Linked DNA regions of Sus scrofa. The protein of the gene in region 1 interacts with the protein of each later gene in a pairwise test. Links are inferred from orthologs where the notes say so. Each region holds a gene or a part of one and is shown on either strand. Other genes may lie near its edges.

The links. The genes of interacting proteins can lie anywhere in the genome.
Region 2: the proteins of ZFYVE19 (region 1) and VPS4B interact in binary tests that used the Homo sapiens proteins (3 or more experiments, as listed by UniProt). The two-hybrid records come from large-scale screens. The link is inferred for Sus scrofa from reciprocal best matches to the Homo sapiens genes ZFYVE19 and VPS4B.

The regions. Positions count from the first base shown.
Region 1 is NC_010443.5:130,510,817-130,515,916, forward strand, and holds part of ZFYVE19 (abscission/NoCut checkpoint regulator), read right to left. Parts: intron 4,354-5,100; coding exon 4,232-4,353; intron 4,063-4,231; coding exon 4,009-4,062; intron 3,349-4,008; coding exon 3,230-3,348; intron 3,147-3,229; coding exon 3,001-3,146; intron 2,668-3,000; coding exon 2,559-2,667; intron 1,930-2,558; coding exon 1,720-1,929; intron 1,305-1,719; coding exon 1,225-1,304; intron 912-1,224; coding exon 813-911; intron 708-812; coding exon 580-707; intron 499-579; coding exon 420-498; 3' UTR 1-419. UniProt on the Homo sapiens protein: Key regulator of abscission step in cytokinesis: part of the cytokinesis checkpoint, a process required to delay abscission to prevent both premature resolution of intercellular chromosome bridges and accumulation of DNA damage.
Region 2 is NC_010443.5:158,266,358-158,272,594, reverse strand, and holds part of VPS4B (vacuolar protein sorting-associated protein 4B), read right to left. Parts: intron 5,210-6,237; coding exon 5,069-5,209; intron 3,408-5,068; coding exon 3,306-3,407; 3' UTR 1-3,305.

The DNA of each region.
Region 1 (5,100 bases):
CTCCTCCCAGCATGCCTCTCACTCCCAGTCCAGATGTCAATGCGGGAAAGCTCCCAACTTCTTGCTTTCCTCTGGCTTCTCTAGTCACTGTTAAATGGAGAGTCCTTCCTCTTTCAAGGGACACAGAGGCTCAGGAAAGGACACATTCACAAGCAGTCTAGCTCTTTTTTTTTTTTTTTTTTTTTTTTTTTTGGCTGCATTCTTGGCATGCGGAAGTTCCAGGACCAGGGATCAAACCCACAGCACAGTAGTGACCCAAGCCACAGCAGTGAAAACACTGGATCCTTCACCTGCTGAGCCACCAGGGAACTCCCGGTAAGCAGTCTAGCCTGATGTGCTCTCCCATCAGATGCGCTGGTGGGTGCCCCGGCCTGTGTGACTGCCTGTAGGATGGCCTTCCCGGGAGGACCAGGGTTCCCTCAGTGCTCTCGCCCTTTGTGCAAGGGGTGGTAGGCAGATGTCTGGTGCTCTTTAAGTTCAAAAGCATCGTGGCCTTCCCTGTGGAGCAGAGATACAGGTCAGGGGTCAAAGGAGGCCTTGGAACATTCCTGGCCCCACAGGAATTCCACCTGTACCTACCGGAAGCAGCGAACACAATAGAGGTCTCCATCACAGCCAGCACAGCGCAGCGTGGCATCCTCATTACAGATACAGCACCAGGGGAGCTCCTCTTCCTCAGCCTCAGGCCTGGGGGCCATGGCCTGGGCCTTTGGGACCAGAGAGGAATGGAGGATGTAAGGTACCTGATGGGGTCCGGGGAGGGGAAGCTGTGATGGTGGCCTGGGGGGGTTTGTGTCTGGAGCTTTTCTCACCTTAGGCTCTACCCTGCTGGATTGGGCTTGGGGTTGGAGATTTGGCTCTGCAGGGATGTTAAAGCCACTTGCCTCATCCAGGGCAGCTTCTTCAGTGAGCTGTGGACAGAGTGAAGAGGTACAGCTCCCTGCTCAGGCATGCCCCCAACACCCAGTATTTTTGTGTTCTGTGGCTTAGCTCTCAGCCCACCTTCCTTCATCTGCTGCCTATGGCTGCTGACACTCCACCTCAAGGGGCTAGGGGGGGCGGGGCTGGGTCAGAGGGGCAGAGCAGTCCCAGCTAGAACAGGCACTGCAGAGTGACTGCCCATTGAACCCCAGAGAAGAGGCGGGGTGAATGGGGCCAGGTGGGTGCTGGAGCAGTGGGGCAGGAACAGGACGAGGGTGGTCAGGGGGATAAGGTGGGGCCAACCTGCCGCAGGACTCTCTGGATGGCTGTCTCCTCATCCTCTTCATCATCACTGTCCGGAAGGTGATAGTCCTGGAGGGTCACTTGAAGAGGGTGAGACGGGAGCAGGGGAGGAGGAATGAGGCTGAGAGCTCACCTGAGTGGCTGTGCTCCTGCCCCCAGTAATCTGGTTTCCAGTGGCATCTGTTCCAGAGCTGAGTAGCCTCTGCAGTCACTCTGGTCAGACCCTGTGCCACACTGCCAGGCTGGGGATCTGCACCTGAAGGGACCCAGGGTCCCCTGCCCCCTGATAGCTGCCACTTGTTCCTCATCCACTGCATCGCCTCAGCACCTTCTTCATGGCTCTGGACAAAGCTCGACAGACTCCTGAGCACAGGGCCCCCCAGCCCCTGACCCAGTCTGGCAGGGAGTACAGCAGCCACTGGGCAGAGCTTGGCCTGGGGGTGGGAGTTGAGGGCCTGCCCACTGGACAAGAGTGAGCCACTCCCCAGCCTCTACCTTTATCTGGGTCCTCTCCTCGAAGCACAGCCAGGCGCTTGGCAAGGGCCAAGATCCGCTCCTGCCTTGTGTTCTCCTCCCGAAGTTCGACTGCTGCCTCAGCCAGAAGCCTGCTCTTCTCCTCCTCCAGGGACCCGGTGGCTTGCCCCTCAGAACTGGCACTCTGGGCCCTTGGGCCCCCCTGGTTGAGGTCATTCTGGGTAGAGGCAGCTGGAAAGAGTGAAGCAGGTGGGCAGACATTTCAAGATCTCCCATCAAAACCACTGAGCCCATAGGTCATCAGCTTTTTGTTTAGCAGTAGCTCCTGTGGTCTATATTGCACATGAGTATTTCCTCCATTTTCCCAAATGTAAAAAACCAGTCATCTTAGACAGTAAAAAAAAATTACACCTATTTTCACCCACATGATATTTTAACATCCTGCCCTTAGGGTGGGTTGCCCCATGGTAATGAGAATCACTGCCTGAAAGGAGCAGGATTGGGGAGGCCAAGGTCCAGCCAGTCTCTCTCCCTTACTGGTTGGAATCAGAAATGACATGAAGGAAGCTGAGGCCTTGTATGTCACTAGATGGTAAGAATTTTATGAGTGGGTGTGGTTCTGACATGGTCCCCTTTAGCTCAGAGTTTCAGAGCAAGAGGTTTGAAAGCAGACAGCTTTGAGTTCAAGTCCCACCTTTGCTACCCTCACGGATACTAGTCAGGTTCTTAACCTGCTGAGCCACAACAGGATCTCCTATGCTCTGATTTATATTCATCTCCCAGAGGGTGGGCAGCAGAGCCTCCCCCAACCTGAGGAGAGTGAGGGGCAGGTCCCTGGGGGAGCCGGGTGGAGAAAATACCTGGGCTTCCTCGTTCCCGGTGCTCATCAATAGCCACCTCCGCTGCTAACTGTGTCAGCAGATCCTGTGCCTGCTGGGCCTGGGTCCTAGTGTCTGGTGGCTGATGTGTCTGCTCAGAAGAGGGAGACTTAGTGGGGAGCAGGGTAGGGGAAAAGCCACACCATAAAGTTCAAAGCAGTTTGGGTCAGGGGTGGATGCTGAGTAATTCGCAAAGCTCAGGGTAAGGGGACTAATCCAGAGGCCATGTAATCAAGTAGGTCTGGCAGTCCCCAGCAAGACAGGATTGTGCTCTGTGCAATCCTGCTGCTCATCCCTGGTTCCCTGGCCTGGCAGCAGGCCTGAGGAGCACAAGGTACTCCTGCAAAATATATAATATACTTGCATCAGGGCTTCTGCTGGGTCCTGTTGCAGGATCTCTATCCTCCAAAGCCACAGCACTCACCCACTGAGGGGTCTGAGAAGATGGAACTCTATCCTGCAGTGCAGCAAGCCGTGCTTCCATCTCCCGGGTGGCAGGGATGGAACCCTGGGGTTCATCCCTCAGTGCAGCTAGCCTCGCTTCTATCTCTGCCTGAGAGGGCACTGACTCTGCAATTAGCATAGGGGAGCCTTGTAAGATCCAGAGGAATACGAGTCCCAGGAGCCCCGGATGATGTCTGTCCCCTACTCACTGGGCTTGTTCTCCCGGCGGAGCCGTGCTAGGCGCTCAGCAATGACTTGGTCTTGCTGGGTCAGTCCATGGCTCTGGGGAGTGCTGGGCTTCTGCTTGGCTTCCAAGGCTGCCACACGCCTGGCAGGATATGAGATAAAGGCTCTTTTTTTTTTTTTTCTTTTTTTCTTTTTAGGGCTGCACCTTTGGCATATGGAAGTCCCCAGGCTAGGGGTCAAATCAGAGCTACAGATGCCGACCACAGCCACAGCCACAGCCACACGGGATCCAAGCCATGACTGTGACCTATACCACAGCTCACGGCAACGCTGGATCCTTAACCCACTGAGCAAGGCCAGGGATCAAACCCGAGTCCTCATGGATACTGGTTGGGTTCATTACTGCTGAGGCACAATGGGAACTCCAAGATAGAGCCTCTTGAAGAATGCAGAAGGGAGGCAGGAAGGCACCCACTCACTGCTTCCCACTCAAATCATTTCTAGGCAGATAAGGAGGCCTTCAGTGGACATTCTTCTGTGGCCCTCGCTCATGGCACCCTGCACCCTAACCCAGCCAATGAGCAGGAGGGTCTAGCTGAGAAGGCGAGGTCTATTAGGAACGTTTTGTGGAGAAAGGACTGAGGAGCTGCTTTCTGCACCCAAAAGGGCAGTCAGGAGCCTGAGAGATACATATTTTCCTGACCCTGTGCTCATTTGATCTAGAGGCTGAGAAGAGAGTCCTACCCTAGAGCTCCCTTGTCCTTTCCCCACCCCCATTTGTCTCTGTCCCTTTAGCACTTACTTCTTATAGTTCTGAGGTGGTGACCACTTGGAGGCATTGGCAGGAGAAGATCCTCTATAGAGAAGAAATCTGGTGTCAGAAGCCACCTGCCATCTGCCTATCAGTGCCCCCCACCCCAAACACTTCCTGGGCTGACCTCTAGACACGGAGCATGAGGCTGCAAGGCCTTGCCAGCTGCCTGCTTCCATGCTTGGCTGAACCCTCACCTGTGTTGGTTTCTCACCTGGTCAGGACCTCATGGCACTGCTTGCAGACTTTCTGTTGCGTGTTTCCAGCCCGGGGCACCACTGCACTGAAGCTAAGGCAGCCGGAACAGAACGCCCGGCCACAGTTCTTACAGCCGTACTACAAGAAACATGAAGCAGGGGGTCCACCTCTCACTCCCCCCTGCAGGCTCCTCCCTGGAACTCTCTGAACACACACACAGAACAGGCACTGAAACTGTAACCAGCTGCTGAGAGGAGAGGAGTGGGGCCCCTAAGGCCTGGGGAGAGACAGGGGTGGAGGGTAAAGCAATTCCTCAGTCTCCAGTCTTCCATTCAAATCAGGTAAAGCTTCATGCAAAATTCTCATGCTTTCTCCTCTAATTCCCTGACATTGGGGTGCAGAAGACAAACAGGCAAAAGACCATGCTTCAGGTCACTGACTCTTCAGCAAAGGAGCAATAAAGTGCAGAGTCCATGCCTTCTCTGCTCTAGCAGAGATGGAGGGCGGCTTGACTAGGATGGGATGGTAACAAAAGCCTCCATTATTAAGCACCTATTGTGTGCCAGGCTCTAAGCTCAGTACTCAACGTTCATCACATAATTTAATTCTGACAATTTACACACACTATCTTACTTAATCCTGATGATCACCATTCTTATTCTATTGGGATAATAGGAAGGGATCAGCAAAGTTACATGACTTGTCCAAAGCAAGTTCACCCCATGAATGACAGCAGAGCTCAAATTTGAATTCTGATCACTTTGACTCCAAAACCCAGGTTTCTGAGGGCCACACGGATCTACTTCACCACCTGCTATTCATTCATCCTATCTGGTCGCAATGGAGGCAGAGAAAGCCTGCAGTTTACCAGAGGAACTTGACAGG
Region 2 (6,237 bases), about 28 Mb from region 1:
TTCTTACACTGGCTAGAATTTCCTTCACAAAACCTTGAAAAGGGGTGGTGACAGCAGGCACCTTTGTCTTTTTCCTCATCTCTGGGAAGTCAGGTTTTCAATAATTTACAATTGGTATGATATTTGCTAGAGTTTTTTGGGAAAATGCTCTTTATTAAATTAAGAAGCTCCCTTCAATTCCTGGTTTGTCAAGTTAAAAAGGAAAATTACAAATGGGTGCTAGATTTTATTAAATGCTTTTTATGACTCTGCAATAACTTTTCTCCTTTACTTCTGTAAATGTGGTAAATAATATTACTTTTCCAATTTAAAACTACAGACAGCCCTTGCTTTGCACTGCACCATGTAAACTAAATAGAAACTTGCTAGTTTCTGTGGCGTAAATCTCTCCCAACATGGCAGATTGCAAGCCAACGAGGTGACTGAACAGGTGGGTACAAATATGTAAAACTCACTCATACTGGTTCTTTTGAGCCAGTATGAGTGAGCTCTGGCACACCTCTGATTTTAGTTCCCAATAACCAAGACTGAAACTTACCACAACTTTGCTAGACTAACCAGAACAAATCAAATTATCTATTTTATAAAAAGTTTTACAGATAATCTAGGAAGTGGATAAAATATGGATATAATTCCCTTAATTTTTCAAGTCTTTATTAAGTACCTAATAAACAGCATCTAGCACTATGCTAATGCAAAGGGAAATGTAACTGTTTGAAGAGCTCACAATCTAAACAATCTAAACAAAATTAACAGAACATGCTTGAAACCTGGAGAATCTTAAGAGAGTCATAGTAACTTAGTGCTAAAGAAATGCAAAGGCAGGATGGGGACAGTTTAGGAATTCTTCCTGGAAGAGACTATATGGGTCATGAGCTAGGTCTTAATGCAAATAATGGGATCTCGACTAGCAGAGGAAAGAAGAAAGGAGAGAGGAAACCCACAGCCCCTGTGAGAGCTCACAAAGCTGGGCACTCCATCTGCAGTGCTCCTGACAATGCGTAAGGGAGGTGTTTCACCACTTCCTACCTATGCACGTGCAAGTGGCTAAATGGCACTTCATATTCATAATCAAATACACTCATTCCATCTTTCTGCATGTTGATGACAGTACACTCAAAGCCAAAATTTTCTACTAAAATACTTTATAATTAAGGTCTCTATAGTTTTCATACTAGGACCAAAAATTTTCTGAAACTTCCAGGGCATACCTTATAGAGATGTTCAAGTAGGGTTTACTTGCTGGCTCAGAAAACATTTACCCCCAAATCATAATGGTCGGGGTCCAGACAGACAGAGCCTGAACGTTCATTTTCCTTGGAGTATTTCTCTGCCCAGAAAGGGCACATGGAAATGGCCCATGCTTTACCATTCTAGAATAAGTCTAAAATCACTAGATACCAGAAACAGTTTTAAAACCAGAAATGTAGAAAATGAAGCTATGGCTAGAAGTGATATGGACACTGAGGCATAGTTCTCAGAGCACATGTAAGAATTTAGTGTGATAAAGCATACACTTATCATCAGCACAGCACTTACACACTATTTGGTCAATTTAAGTAAAATACTTCCTCAAAACAAATTTTGGATTCTTGAAAAATTCTGGATTTCAACCACTATATAATTATAATGTAATTATGTTAATTCTCCTAATGATAGGATTAATAGCAATACTGCATGATTCTGAGGCTGATAAAATAAAAATATATAAAATTTAAGACATCCACAAAGGATTTGGTGTTGATCTGCCAAGTTAATTCCCAATTCTCACATAAAGGTTGCTGAAAATCAGAATTTTCATGTATATATTCTTGATTTTTAGTGATTTATTTGTATCTAATCAGTTTAGATAATATTTTCTCCTGCAGAGAAGATCCCAAAATAAAGAAGCATACACAGAATATAGCCAACAGTAGGTTATATCAATTTACTTCACGTAGAACAGTGTATTTCAGGTCTATGATTTCCATTTAATATCAACAAACACCAACTGTACAGAAAACCCAAAGGCAACTATAGAGCATCATATGTAAAATGTGCAAATATACTTTAAAATGCAAGTTATCCTATAGCATCAACAAGGCAGAACTTTATGGTAAATTAAGGAATCTACCTTATCTAGTTGACTTAATAATCCTTTGCATGTACAGCCAATGCAAATGTACAAGGCACAACTTAGTGTTGGTGCTAACGTGTATAACACACACCCTCAGATTATTTACTTGAAGATATTAAAATAACAATGTCATGTTTGTAGTTTATTATTTAAGGAGACATCAGCTCATTTCTAAAGCTTTATGAAACATTACATTGATAATGTATGTGTGTCCAGGGCAAGATGTTCCCTGACCTTAAAAGGTAAAAGACAAGATGCTAGCTATTCGATATTTAAAAAAAAATTATATATATATATGTACACCCGCCCCCCCACCCCAATCACACACAAGTAACTTCCCATAATCCAAAGGGAGCTTGTTCCTTTTAGCAAAGGTTCCCATTACAGTATTTCACGACAGAGTTATTTTAAAAGTACGTATTTATTAACCACCTGTTTTGGTCACTCTTGCTACAAAAAGACACTGAAGTAGACAATTTTCTTCTTCAAGATAAAGACAATGTCTAGAGAGTCTTTCTCTTGAGACTGCACAGTGAAAGGTATTATTTAGTTAAGTATAAAAAAGCCTGCTGCTTTTATAGAAACTTAAATCTACATGGAGAAAAACACCAATCTATCAAAAATCAATAAAAGCCGTGGGAAGAACGCAATTTAAAATCTTTCGAGCCCAATCACAGTGCTCTTTGCTGTTTTACTGACCATCCCTGAGAGTAAATCATTTTTAACTTTTTAATAAAGTTAATTTTACATTGATGAGAAGGATGCTTAAGATTTTTTTCAAAATATGAAATAAGCCTCATTTCATTTTAGTTTAAAAAAAATGAATGCTCTTTGCAAAGACCACTATTCATAACAATTTAAAATATTTGCATCTCAATTTTAAATCTTTTTACTGGGTAATTTCTTTTTCTTTTTCTTTTTGCTTTTTATGTATCACTCACTCTTCTTTTTTTTAGTTACTACTCATTTTCTTATAACCCGTTATTTTATAATTTTTGTTAACAGGAGAATTTAACTGATAATGGAGCAAAAGTATATATAAACCTTAAAGGAACTCTGAAGTAAGATCTCTATTTCCCTGTGGTAAAAGAGTTTTACAGGAAAAAATCTGAACGCCATCCAAGAAGGGCAAAAATACCCATGAAAGAAAGAAACACACATGGTAAATTTCTTCCTTGCGGTCTTTGGTTTAGCCTTCTTGGCCAAAATCTTCCGTAAACTTCTTTAATTTCAACAAGTCGTGTTCATTGACTGTGGGTTTTGTGCTTGATAGTGACCGGAGCATATCCGACTGTCAGGAAAAAGAAGTGGGGAAGATTAGTAATAGATTTATCAAATAAACACTGCATCACTAACTTTCACCTAAGGATATCTGTGATGTGCCATAAGCTACTGATGATAAACTCTTGCTCTCCTAAAGAACATCTTTAACTATGTTATTCCTTTGCTCTCATCACAACCTTCAAAGGCTCCTCAGTGCCCTAAAGAAAGTACAGTCCTCTTACCCTGAGGATCAAGGCCTCCACAGTAAGTCCCTGATCACTTTTTTGGCCATATCTGTTTTTTCTTAAACAAGAGGGCAGCTGTCCAAGTACAACTCAGAAGGAATATAGTCATTCACTTATACGTATATGAAACAAAATAATCCCATAATCAAAACTAACTAATCAAAAATGTTAACTATTAAAATTACAATTAAAATGGTAAGAAAACATACTAATGTCAAGGATTCATTTAAAAATTAACTTCTAGGCCATTTCTCCTATAAAAAAAATAGTATGGCAAATGGAAAACAAAACAAAACAAAACTTTAAAACAATAAATCAAGGACTGAAACAAAAAAGGATTTCTGGATAATTTTTCAGGTAAGTATTGTGGTAAATTAACACATAAATATATCTATGTTTATGGATATATTACTACACACAAACTTATATACATACATATACACATACATGTCTATATACTTAGATCTACATGGTCTACATATCCTGTGAAAGCTTCCCCTTTGGAAGTTACTATTAATTTTGATATACAGATTTGAAAATCTATAAAGCAGAAGATTTTAAAAACTGAGTGTTCATCAATAAGAAAACATAAGCATAATAAACATTCCTTAAAATTGATACACCTTACAAAATAATAGTCTCATGAATTATTTTAATTCCTCCAATAGAAATTATATAAATGTAATTTTTATGAATATTTTAATTTCTCAAATTCATATTTACATTCACATTAATCTTCACAACTTTTTAAGCAGTTAGTATTAAATAAACATGTCTGATCATTTTTCTTTTCTTTTTTTTTTTTTGCTTTTTAGGGCTGCACTCTTGACACATGGAGGTTCCCAGGCTAGGGGTCCAATTGGAGCTGTAGCCTCTGGCCTACACCACAGCAAGAGCAACTCAGGATCCGCGCCGTATCTGTGACCTACACCACAGCTCATGGCAATGCCGGATCCTTAACCCACTGAACAAGGCCAGGGATTGAATCCGCAATCTCATGGTTCCTAGTCGGGTTCGTTTCCACTCTGCCACGACGGGAACTCCATGCCTGATCATATTAACATCTTCTAGCTGATTTTACATAACAGAAAATTTTATCTGTCTGACAAATTATAAAATACGTTTTAAAATTTTTCTTTTTTTTTTTTTTTTTTTTTTTTTTTTTGTCTTTCTGCTATTTCTTGGGCCGCTCCCGCGGCATATGGAGGTTCCCAGGCTAGGGGTTGAATCGGAGCTGTAGCCACCAGCCTACGCCAGAGCCACAGCAACGCGGGATCCGAGCCGCGTCTGCAACCTACACCACAGCTCACGGCAACGCCGGGTCCTTAACCCACTGAGCAAGGGCAGGGACCGAACCCGCAACCTCATGGTTCCTAGTCGGATTCGTTAACCACTGCGCCACGATGGGAACTCCTAAAATTTTTCTTAAATCAAAATGACAAACCATGCAAACAACTGGCTCCAAAAGTTTATCCCCAGGGATATCCATCCATGTCATTTCAATGGCACCAGGGTCACCTGGAGAACAGGGTGTTAGCAGATCATCTACTATGTGGTTAGGATCAGCTCGTGAAGGTCCACGAACCTGGAAAAAACAGCAATACGAAATACTTATTTTTAACAAATTAAGTAAATGTTAAAATTTAGACCATGATCAGGAAATCTGGATATGCACTATTTTTTTGGGGGGGGGGGGGCTGCATCCAAAGCATATGAAAATTCCCAGGCCAGGGAATGAAGCTGTACCGCATCTGTGACCTACACCTTGCTGTGGCAACACCAGATCCTTAACCCATTGTGTCACGGAGAAACTTTCAATGTAGTATTATTTTACGTTTTGTTACAAATGTTTACTTCTGAAAATAAACAGAAGGATATACGACAAAAATATAATTATCTCTGGGTGATGGGATAGATTTTGCTTGGCTTTTTTCTTGATGCTTTTCTATATCTGAAATTCCCTACAATAAATTACTTATATGATCCTAGGGAGAAAATAAATTAAAATCAGTTACCCGCAACTAAAGCTTTTTTTTCCCTCTAATACTTACTAAGTGGTAATAATTGTAGAGACCAAAAATAAACCACCCCCAAATTCTCTTAATAACTCTATTTTTGATAACTGAGGAATTTTGAAAGTTTGAGATTTTGGAAGGTTTATTATTTCTGTCTTTCCCAACAAAAACTCCTTCTTCAAATATAAGTACAAAATAAATTAAATGTTAAATGTAATTTCAGTGCTGTTTTATGATTCATAACTAATTTAAAATAACCGTTTTTTAAAATTTTTTATTTTTTGTCTTTTTTTTTTTTAGGGCCACACCTGCAGCATATGGAAGTTCCCAGGCTAGGGGTTGAATCAGAGCTGCAGCAATGTCTTCAGAGCTGCATCTGCGACCTACACCGCAGCCTCTGGCAATGCTGTATCTTTTATCCCACTGAGGGAGGCCAGGGATGGAATCTGCATCTTCATGGATACTAGCCAGGTTCTTAACCTGCTGAGCTACAATGGCAACCCCTAAAAAAGTTTTAATAACATCCAGAAAAAGAAATTCTGTGACTAGAGTCACATGTAATATTTAAATGACAACAGATTTGTATCAAATCAGGAGC